Cricetulus griseus: one gene and its partner. The protein of the gene in region 2 interacts with the protein of the main gene of each other region in a biochemical or structural test. Links are inferred from orthologs where the notes say so. Each region holds a gene or a part of one and is shown on either strand. Other genes may lie near its edges.

Region 1 (4,481 bases), on a different chromosome or scaffold from region 2:
GAGGGGAGGTGGAGAGAAGCAGGCCCACACAGAGTCCTTGTGGCCGAAGGGAGGCACACCCTTTTCACTCCTAGAATAGGAGTCAAGGTCAGAGGATAGCTTCCTCAGGATGTTACAGACCAGGTGTATATATGAAGTCTCTCCACCACCACCTGTCACAAAACCTGGGAAGCTTAGAAATAACCAGAAACATTGGCTCTCAGGTATGGTGGACATGTGGTCAGACCAACTAACACACAATCACAGTGACCCTTCACTGAAATTATCTCTGTAGTGTGACTGACTTCTACTCTTGGAAGCCATTCTTGGTTCTGCTTTGACCTTTGTGCTTTAAAGGCCACATTGCACCCTGATCACATCCTGATTCCAATGCTCTCTGGCCATGTGACCCTGTGTGGCTGCTACAGTCCCTTGAACTTTAGTTTGTTCCCCTAAAGAATGACTTTTCCAGGACTTTCTGTGACTCTAAAGAAGCCCACACTTACTCTGAGATGGCAAGAAAACAGGTAAGCAGCATCAGATGCTGATCCCTGTACCCATACCTATACAGAGTGGAGCTCTGTATAGTCTCCTTACGTCACAGCCCCTGGATCCCTGCATCCCTCTCTGCCTCCCTCCCTGGGAGGGACACTCAGTTTTCACCTAGGCAGTGCCATGTTTCTCTTTGGCCATGACTCCTAGCCCTCTATACGGTAAGTGCTCCCAGACATCTGGGCAGCATGCTGGTGCTTGGAAGGCAGCCTGCCTGGAGTTGTATTTCCTAGGCTATATCCTTCCTCTTAACAAACACGTCAATCACCTTTCTGCTTCTGGCTAGCTTGTTAGCCACACTGACTGCTGGACCTTTGTCATCATCTTGTACTTCACAGGACATCTTTCCTATCCCTGAGAAGGCCCTGAACCCTTTCTGAAAGGCTTCATTTATTCATGCAGTCCTGTTAAGTTTGTGAAGTACTTCCCTGTATCTTATTCAGTCCACACACATCCCCTAGAGCTAGGTGGTACCCTTGCATTTTACTCTTCCCAAAGTGAAGACTGGGAAGCTAAGGGATACTCTGAGCTATAATTTGAACCTTTGACTCTGTTTTCTTGGCTTTGCTTCTCATTGTTCCCTTGAGTTAAGGATTTGCATCTACCATGGTTCTGTCTCCACTTTCTGGGTGAGGCTCTTGTGGTTCGCCTGTTGGGTGTTCCTGCTTGCTCCTCTTACCCTGTCCCCATGCTGCCTCTCACCCCATCCAGCCTCTGTCTCATATGTTCTCTTGCCCCTCACAGATATTTTGTATGTCCAAGCTACAGAGCACCTGTCAGCCCAGCCTGGGAGCAGACACCAAGCCCTGGCTTAGCTACAGCTCCTCCTAACAGTGGCTATGCTGACACTGAGCACAAATGAGAGGGTTGTTCAGAAATGAACCAAAGCCAAATCAGGAAAATCTCCATGTGTTCTGGGACATAAAACAGCTCCATACACATTGCAATGAACTGGCTGAATGATGAAGCATGTTATAGTTGAGAGAGGTGAGGTAATTGCATACAGATGGCCATAGCATTGGTTCACATGAGATATCCCTGATCTTTCTTTTTAGAAAACAGCATAGCATGTTCATCTTATATCGTTTCCCTTGACACCCAGTCCCCAAAGTAAACTGAGAACACAGACTGCCCACATTCCCCTACCCTTTTTCGTGGCTTGTGCCTTCATCTGCCCCAATCTGAGACAGGAGACAGTTTACACAAACTATTAACTGACATCACACCACACTACAGTTAAACAAGCCCCTCCAATGGCCACCTAGCTCCTCTATGGAGGGTTCACCACCCAGACTAAAGACCGGAACAGAAATTAGAAGTAGCAGCTTTGATCTGCACAGCGTTTCCACCCAGGCCATTGCTTAAAGCCTCTTCTCATTCACTGGATATTAAAGAAAAATCCTTGACTGAAACCTGTGGGAAACACTAGGTATCACGTTGCCACTTAATCACCCATTAAGTAAGAGCTTTTATTGACTTTCAGCATCACAGTGTCTTTCTTTTTTTAAGACAAATTTTGATTCATTTTAAATGGCCAAAAGCATGCCTGTCACTGAACATCTTTGGTGTGTATCTATTTGAAAGCAAGAATCCTGGAATCTCATTCATCCACCCACACCTTGTGAGTAACAAAGCTTCATGATTTGAGCTGGGAAGGGCTCTCTTCTGTGCTATTGGATCTATGGTAGCTGCTTTGTAATTGTGTAGTTCTTTAGAGTTTAGAAACAAGTCACTATATTTGTATCAAACCCTTGGATGATAAGAGACCAAGACCCTAAGGGAGGGACTTCCTTAGAGCCACCCAGCTGCTTCTTAATGGCAGTTCAGAGGCTGCCATGTAGGTCTGTTGAACCCCCTTTTCCTCTGCTTTCCTGCCATCTGACCCAAAGGACTGGGACACCCCTCTATGACAGTGGCTTTAGACCCAGAGTAATTCCATGCCCGCTGCTCTGTTTGAGAGGTTCCCTTGAATTCTTAACTTTTTTTGTTTTTAGGATACCAGGAAATCAAACCCAGACTTTCATACACACTCCCTAAACCCTCCGATATTAGTTATGCTTTTAGGGAATTTGAAATAACTGCTATGTCTACAAGTGGATCAAGTATATGGACCCTCCTCATATGTAGTCAGAGTAGGTGCTGGGATTTGGTTGTAAAATATACCTCCACTCTGTAGAACTCTATATAGTCCCATCGGCCACCCAGTCAGTCAGTCATCCTGGCCCAAATGCCTGTTTAATCCACTTACCTGCCTGTGTGGTCTCTGTCGGCTCAACTGAGTAAGGGGACTCTTGTCCTCTTTAAATATATTGAGGCTGTCACCAGCCTTGGCTTGCTGAGGGAAGGGCAGAGGGGAGGCTGAGGGGAGGGGGTGAATAAGACATGAGTAACACAACTGCCAAAAATAGCCCATGACCAAAGCCCTTAGTTGTGTTCCCCAGCCCCCCCACCCCACGGCAGCCGGGAGCCTCCTGGAGAACAATATTAGTTGGGTTCTATTTTAATTGCCATTTGCCTAAGGCAGCAAGGGATGCATTTGTGAAGTGTACAGTTTCTGACCAAAGACTTGGAAGAAGAGTAAAGGGTTTTATGTTTAAAATCATTTCTGCAGCCCCTCCCCCACACCCTGCCTGTTCTGCAAATCAGTGCAGGGTACCTGCAAATGAATCATGAGCCAGGCCTGGGAGCCCTCTGGAATTCCAAGACCCAGGTCACCGTACTTGTGAGGAGAACTCAGAGCTAAAAATAAGAGTGATGGGGGTCTGGCACACTCTTAGCTAATCTCCTCCAGGAGGCTTGCAGGGGAGGTGGGGTTGAGATCAGCTAATCATCAGAGGCCTGTTTATCCAAGGAAGAAAAGTTTTCTCAGAAGTTTTGAGTCTCAAGTCTTGATTAGTAAACTATTTCATGGTTTAGAATAGGGCTTGTTGTAATTTCACAAGGATGGGCATAGCATGGCTTTAAGTGAAATATGCTTGATCCGTGTTATCATGGAAAACAGCACAGCTTGTTTATCTGAGAAATAAGACAATGATGACTGCCCTATAAAGCAAAGGATCTTAAGGATTCTGGTAGGATAGCAGCTTTTAAAGCTGTGTGTGCGTGCGTTCGTGTGTGCGTGCGTGCGTGCGTGCGTGCGTGCGTGCGTGCGTGTGTGTGTGTGTGTGTGTGTGTGTGTGTGTGTGTATGTTCAGTCTTCAACTAATATAAATCAGCAGTATTGATGCATTCCTGTAATTTCAGCATCTGGGAGGTAGAAGCTAGAGCATTAGAAGTGATCATTCTCAGCCACATAAGAAGTTCAAAGCAAGCATGGACTGCATGAGACTCTGTCTCAAAAAACAAACAAAACAAAAAACAAAACAAGTATACCAATTTTTTGTGTGCTTTGACACCAATATTTAATGTAGTTAATGTTAAATGGGACATCAACACATAAAGTCAATAAAACTGGAGCTCCACACTGCTTCTTGTGTACTTTCTAAAGTTTCACTTTAAAGTCAGGCATGAGAATATAGTCGTGAGAGAGAGTCTGCAATGACTTAACTAAATTCTTACATAACTGAAAGGGTCTAAGCTGTGACAAAGTGTTGCACGTGATGATTCCACAGGACTGGTTTCTCTGAAGCCACACTTGGTGGCATGTAAGTGAGTCTTGTTGTGTCTTCCTGGAATCTTCCTTTGGTGTATGTGTGATCCCGTATTTTCTTATAAGGATACCAGTTCTATTGTATTAGTTTCTTCTTTGAAATCCCTATCTCCAAATACAGTACCACACTCTGAGATTTTTGGGGCTAGTTAGGTTGTAAATGTGGATTTTAGAGGGATCCAATTCAATCTTCATTTTGCATTCCTCTTGGGTGATTCTCGTGCTTACATTGAGAATCTATATTCAAAATGAATATAGATTTATTTCTTTATTCTTTATTTAGATTACTATATTCTTTAGT
Region 2 (3,723 bases):
TCCAAGGCCCCCTGTTAGGGCTCAGAGCCCCAAGCAAAGGCTGAGAAGGCTGCTGGTTATACAGTGCAAGCAGGTGTTGGAGACAGAAGCAAGCTCTCTTGCCAGCATAGCCGTGCACCTCCCCTGACATTTCCACACTCCCCTCCCTTTAGATTTTCAACCACGACCACAGTTACTCCTGGATACTGTCATTATCCCTGGATATGAAGTGGAAACAGACTTGGGAAGAGGTCACCTCCACAAAGTTATGCAAACTGCACTGTTGGTGAGGTCCTCAGGCCAGGTCCTGGCCATCATGACACTTAAGAAAGGCACTTCCTGGGGCTCGACTCAGAACAAGAGGACACAAAATTGCAGCAAACTGGCTTTCGTCTTAGCTGTAGAAACAGATCAACCCAGACCCCTGTGGCTCTCTAGATATCCACAGAAGGAATCCAGCTGGTTAAGTTGAGTGGAGCCTCTCTCCCTTCCTTCTTCGCTCGTTTCCTCCCTCCGTCCACCCTGATTTTGAGTAGAATGGCTTGAAGTTTTAATGCTGATCTCCCAACTACCGCAGAGACTGAACCGGGTTCCTAAGCTTCCTGAGGAAGATGGGCAAGACCAGGCGCTCTCTGGGCGGTGTCCAGATCCGCAATCAGCCAAATATCACTGCCACCAAGTCATTTGTCTCAGGCTTGCCCACTTAAACCTTTGGAGTCTCACTGTCTCTTGCTCACGTCGTCTTCGGCTCAACTTCTAAGGATGTGTCACCATTTCGCGGCTTCTTCTCTGGAGGTTCTTTGCCCTGTTGCCTTGTGACTCTCTACAAATCTCCCGCAATCTGATTTCTAATTCCTATTCTGTGCCTGGTTTCCCCACAAATCAGGAGACAGTGAGGTCCAAGGTCAGCGCTGTGGCTTCGCGGAGGCGCACTGGAGAGGCTTGGGCAGGCTGCATCTGGTAACCAAGTGCAAAGGAGGGCGGAGGGTGTTTGCCCGCCAGTGTCTGCCCTCCTCCCTGCCCCACCGCAGAGCCGCGGGAGGGGGCACTCCCTGGCCCCAGTGGCTACCCTGGGGACCCCACGCTCCGCCCTGCTGCACTCCTATTGGTTTAGGACACCCCCGCCCCCAGCCTCCCTTTCCAGCTCCCGGGCTTTTTAGGCTACCCTGGATAAATAGTCCTGGACGCCTGGCGCGAAGCTTGGGGCGAGGAAGTCCCAGGACGATTGCTTTCTTCGCCACAACTCCGACAGACCAGGGAGGGGAGGTAGAGGACAGCCTGTGTGCAGTCCAATCCTCAGCACTTTGTCATTGTACTGTCGGAGTTCAGGAGTGGCAGAAAGTGACTCTTGAGACTTGAGTTGAGCTAGAGGCAGGACCGAGAAGCCCAGGAGCTGGGATATGGAGTTATTGTCGCCGCCACTCCGGGACGTAGACTTGACAGGCCCCGACGGCTCTCTCTGCTCCTTTGCCACAGCCGACGACTTCTATGATGACCCGTGTTTCGACTCACCGGACCTGCGCTTTTTCGAGGACCTGGACCCGCGCCTGGTGCACGTGGGGACCCTCCTGAAACCGGAGGAGCACACACACTTCCCTACCACGGTGCACCCAGGCTCAGGTGCTCGCGAGGATGAGCATGTGCGCGCACCCAGTGGGCACCACCAGGCTGGTCGCTGCTTGCTGTGGGCCTGCAAAGCATGCAAGCGCAAGACCACCAACGCTGATCGCCGCAAGGCCGCCACCATGCGCGAGCGGCGCCGCCTGAGCAAAGTGAACGAGGCCTTCGAGACGCTCAAACGCTGCACGTCCAGCAACCCGAACCAACGGCTGCCCAAGGTGGAGATCCTGCGCAATGCCATCCGCTACATTGAAGGCCTGCAGGCTCTGCTGCGCGACCAGGACGCAGCACCCCCTGGCGCGGCTGCCTTCTACTCGCCCGGCCCGCTGCCCCCAGGCCGAGGCAGTGAGCACTACAGCGGCGACTCAGACGCTTCCAGCCCACGCTCCAACTGCTCAGATGGCATGGTAAGGCCGGGTCTCAGAAGAAGGCCAAGTGCAGGTGGCACCTGGGGAATCTGGAATGCTTTTGAGTCCGTTAGGGTTGGGGAAGTTCTTTAGACCCAGGTGTGCCTGGCATGTGACTGGGGTCTCTGGAGACCCTGGGCATCTGTGATTTGCCTAGTGGGGGTGGCATCAAAATACTGCTATGCAGACCACAGGACATACGTTTTCTCCCCAAATCCGTATCACCCAAATGTAGATTTGTTGTTGTTGTTCCTGGGTCACCATCCAGTCTCAGTTTGGCCCTGCATGCGATATATTTCAATGTTTGCTGGCTCCTACTTCCTAACTAGGGCTGACCCAGTCCTGGAACGCCCCCAGCTGAGACTAGGGGAGTGAGGGAGGGGCGGTGACAAGGAGCAGTGCTTGAGACGCCCCGAGGATCTGACTCCATCATTCTTGCTATTCGCAGATGGATTACACTGGCCCCCCGAGAGGCCCCCGGGGGCAGAATGGCTACGACGCCACCTACTACAGCGAGGCCTCCAGCGGTGGTGCGTATTCTCAGCTGTTCCCAGCTAGCAGCTGGGAATTGCCTTCCATGTCCCCCTTGAAGCTGTCCTTGCTCCCCAGGCTCAGTACCCCCCTCCCTGCCTCCATCACAAACACACTTGTATCTTGGGACTACGAAGGGGGCTGGTTAGGGGTTAAACAGTGTGCACCTTCCTCTTCTTTCTCCGTTCAGTCTGGCAAGTCCTCAGTTTCTCTTCTGCTCCAAAGCTCTGTGTTCTGATGGAGTGGGGAGAGAGTGTAAGAGACTTGAAGAGACTCAAGCTTGGAATACTAACCTTCCCCTCCCCCTATAGAGTCCAGGCCAAGGAAGAGTGCAGCCGTGTCGAGCCTCGACTGCCTATCCAGCATCGTGGAGCGCATCTCCACGGACAGCCCCGCTGCTCCTGCTCTGCTGCTGGCAGATGCATCTCCAGAATCTCCTCCAGGTCCTCCAGAAGGTGCATCCCCAAGCGACACAGAACAGGGGGCCCAGACCCCGTCGTCCCCTGATGCCTCCCTGCAGTGCCCTGTAGTCGCGAACGCCAATCCGACCTATCAGATGCTTTGAGAGGTCAGCTGCTGTAGGAGAGGGCATACCGCCTACACGCCTCGGGGGAGTGGGGGGTGGGAGGTCCTTCACACCCCCAAAAATGAAGCTTAAATGACACTCCTCCCAACTGTCCTTTCAAAGCCACACATCCAGAGGCTGGAAAAGGGGGAGCAGAAATCTGTCCCCACAGCGGTCCCCAAGGAAAGGACGCAGTCCATTTGTTGTCGTTGTTTTATTTTATTTTTTTCATGTGACTCACAAAAGACAGCCACTTGCTGCCCCTAACCGCCAGGGTTTCTTCCTTTCTCGCAGCTCCTCGAGCAGGGCTGAGCCCGGTACACCTAGGCCCTGCTCTCCAGGTCCCTGTTGTTTGTGGAGACATGATCCCCATTTTCCGGAGGCCCCCTAATATATGCTCTTTCCCACAGCCTGCGGGAAAGCCGCTCCAGTCCCGTGTGTAACAGGTGTAACCATACCCCACCTTCCCCTGTCCCAAGCGCGGTTCAGGACCACTTATTTTTTTTATATAAGACTTTTTGTAATCTATTCGTGTAAATAAGAGTTGCTTGGCCAGAGCCAGAGCCCCCTGGGCTGTATTTATCTCTGAGGCATGCTGTGTAGTGAAACAAGAACTTTGTT

The links.
Region 1: the proteins of myoblast determination protein 1 (region 2) and Csrp3 form a complex in vitro, tested with the Homo sapiens proteins (2 studies listed by BioGRID and IntAct, with this or other methods). The link is inferred for Cricetulus griseus from reciprocal best matches to the Homo sapiens genes MYOD1 and CSRP3.

What each region holds. Positions count from the first base shown.
Region 1 is NC_048596.1:145,855,785-145,860,265, forward strand, and holds the start of Csrp3 (cysteine and glycine-rich protein 3), read right to left. Parts: upstream 2,893-4,481; 5' UTR 2,780-2,892; intron 1-2,779. UniProt on the Homo sapiens protein: Positive regulator of myogenesis. Acts as a cofactor for myogenic bHLH transcription factors such as MYOD1, and probably MYOG and MYF6.
Region 2 is NC_048599.1:155,322,019-155,325,741, forward strand, and holds myoblast determination protein 1, read left to right. Parts: upstream 1-1,379; coding exon 1,380-2,006; intron 2,007-2,454; coding exon 2,455-2,533; intron 2,534-2,848; coding exon 2,849-3,102; downstream 3,103-3,723. UniProt on the Homo sapiens protein: Acts as a transcriptional activator that promotes transcription of muscle-specific target genes and plays a role in muscle differentiation. Together with MYF5 and MYOG, co-occupies muscle-specific gene promoter core region during myogenesis.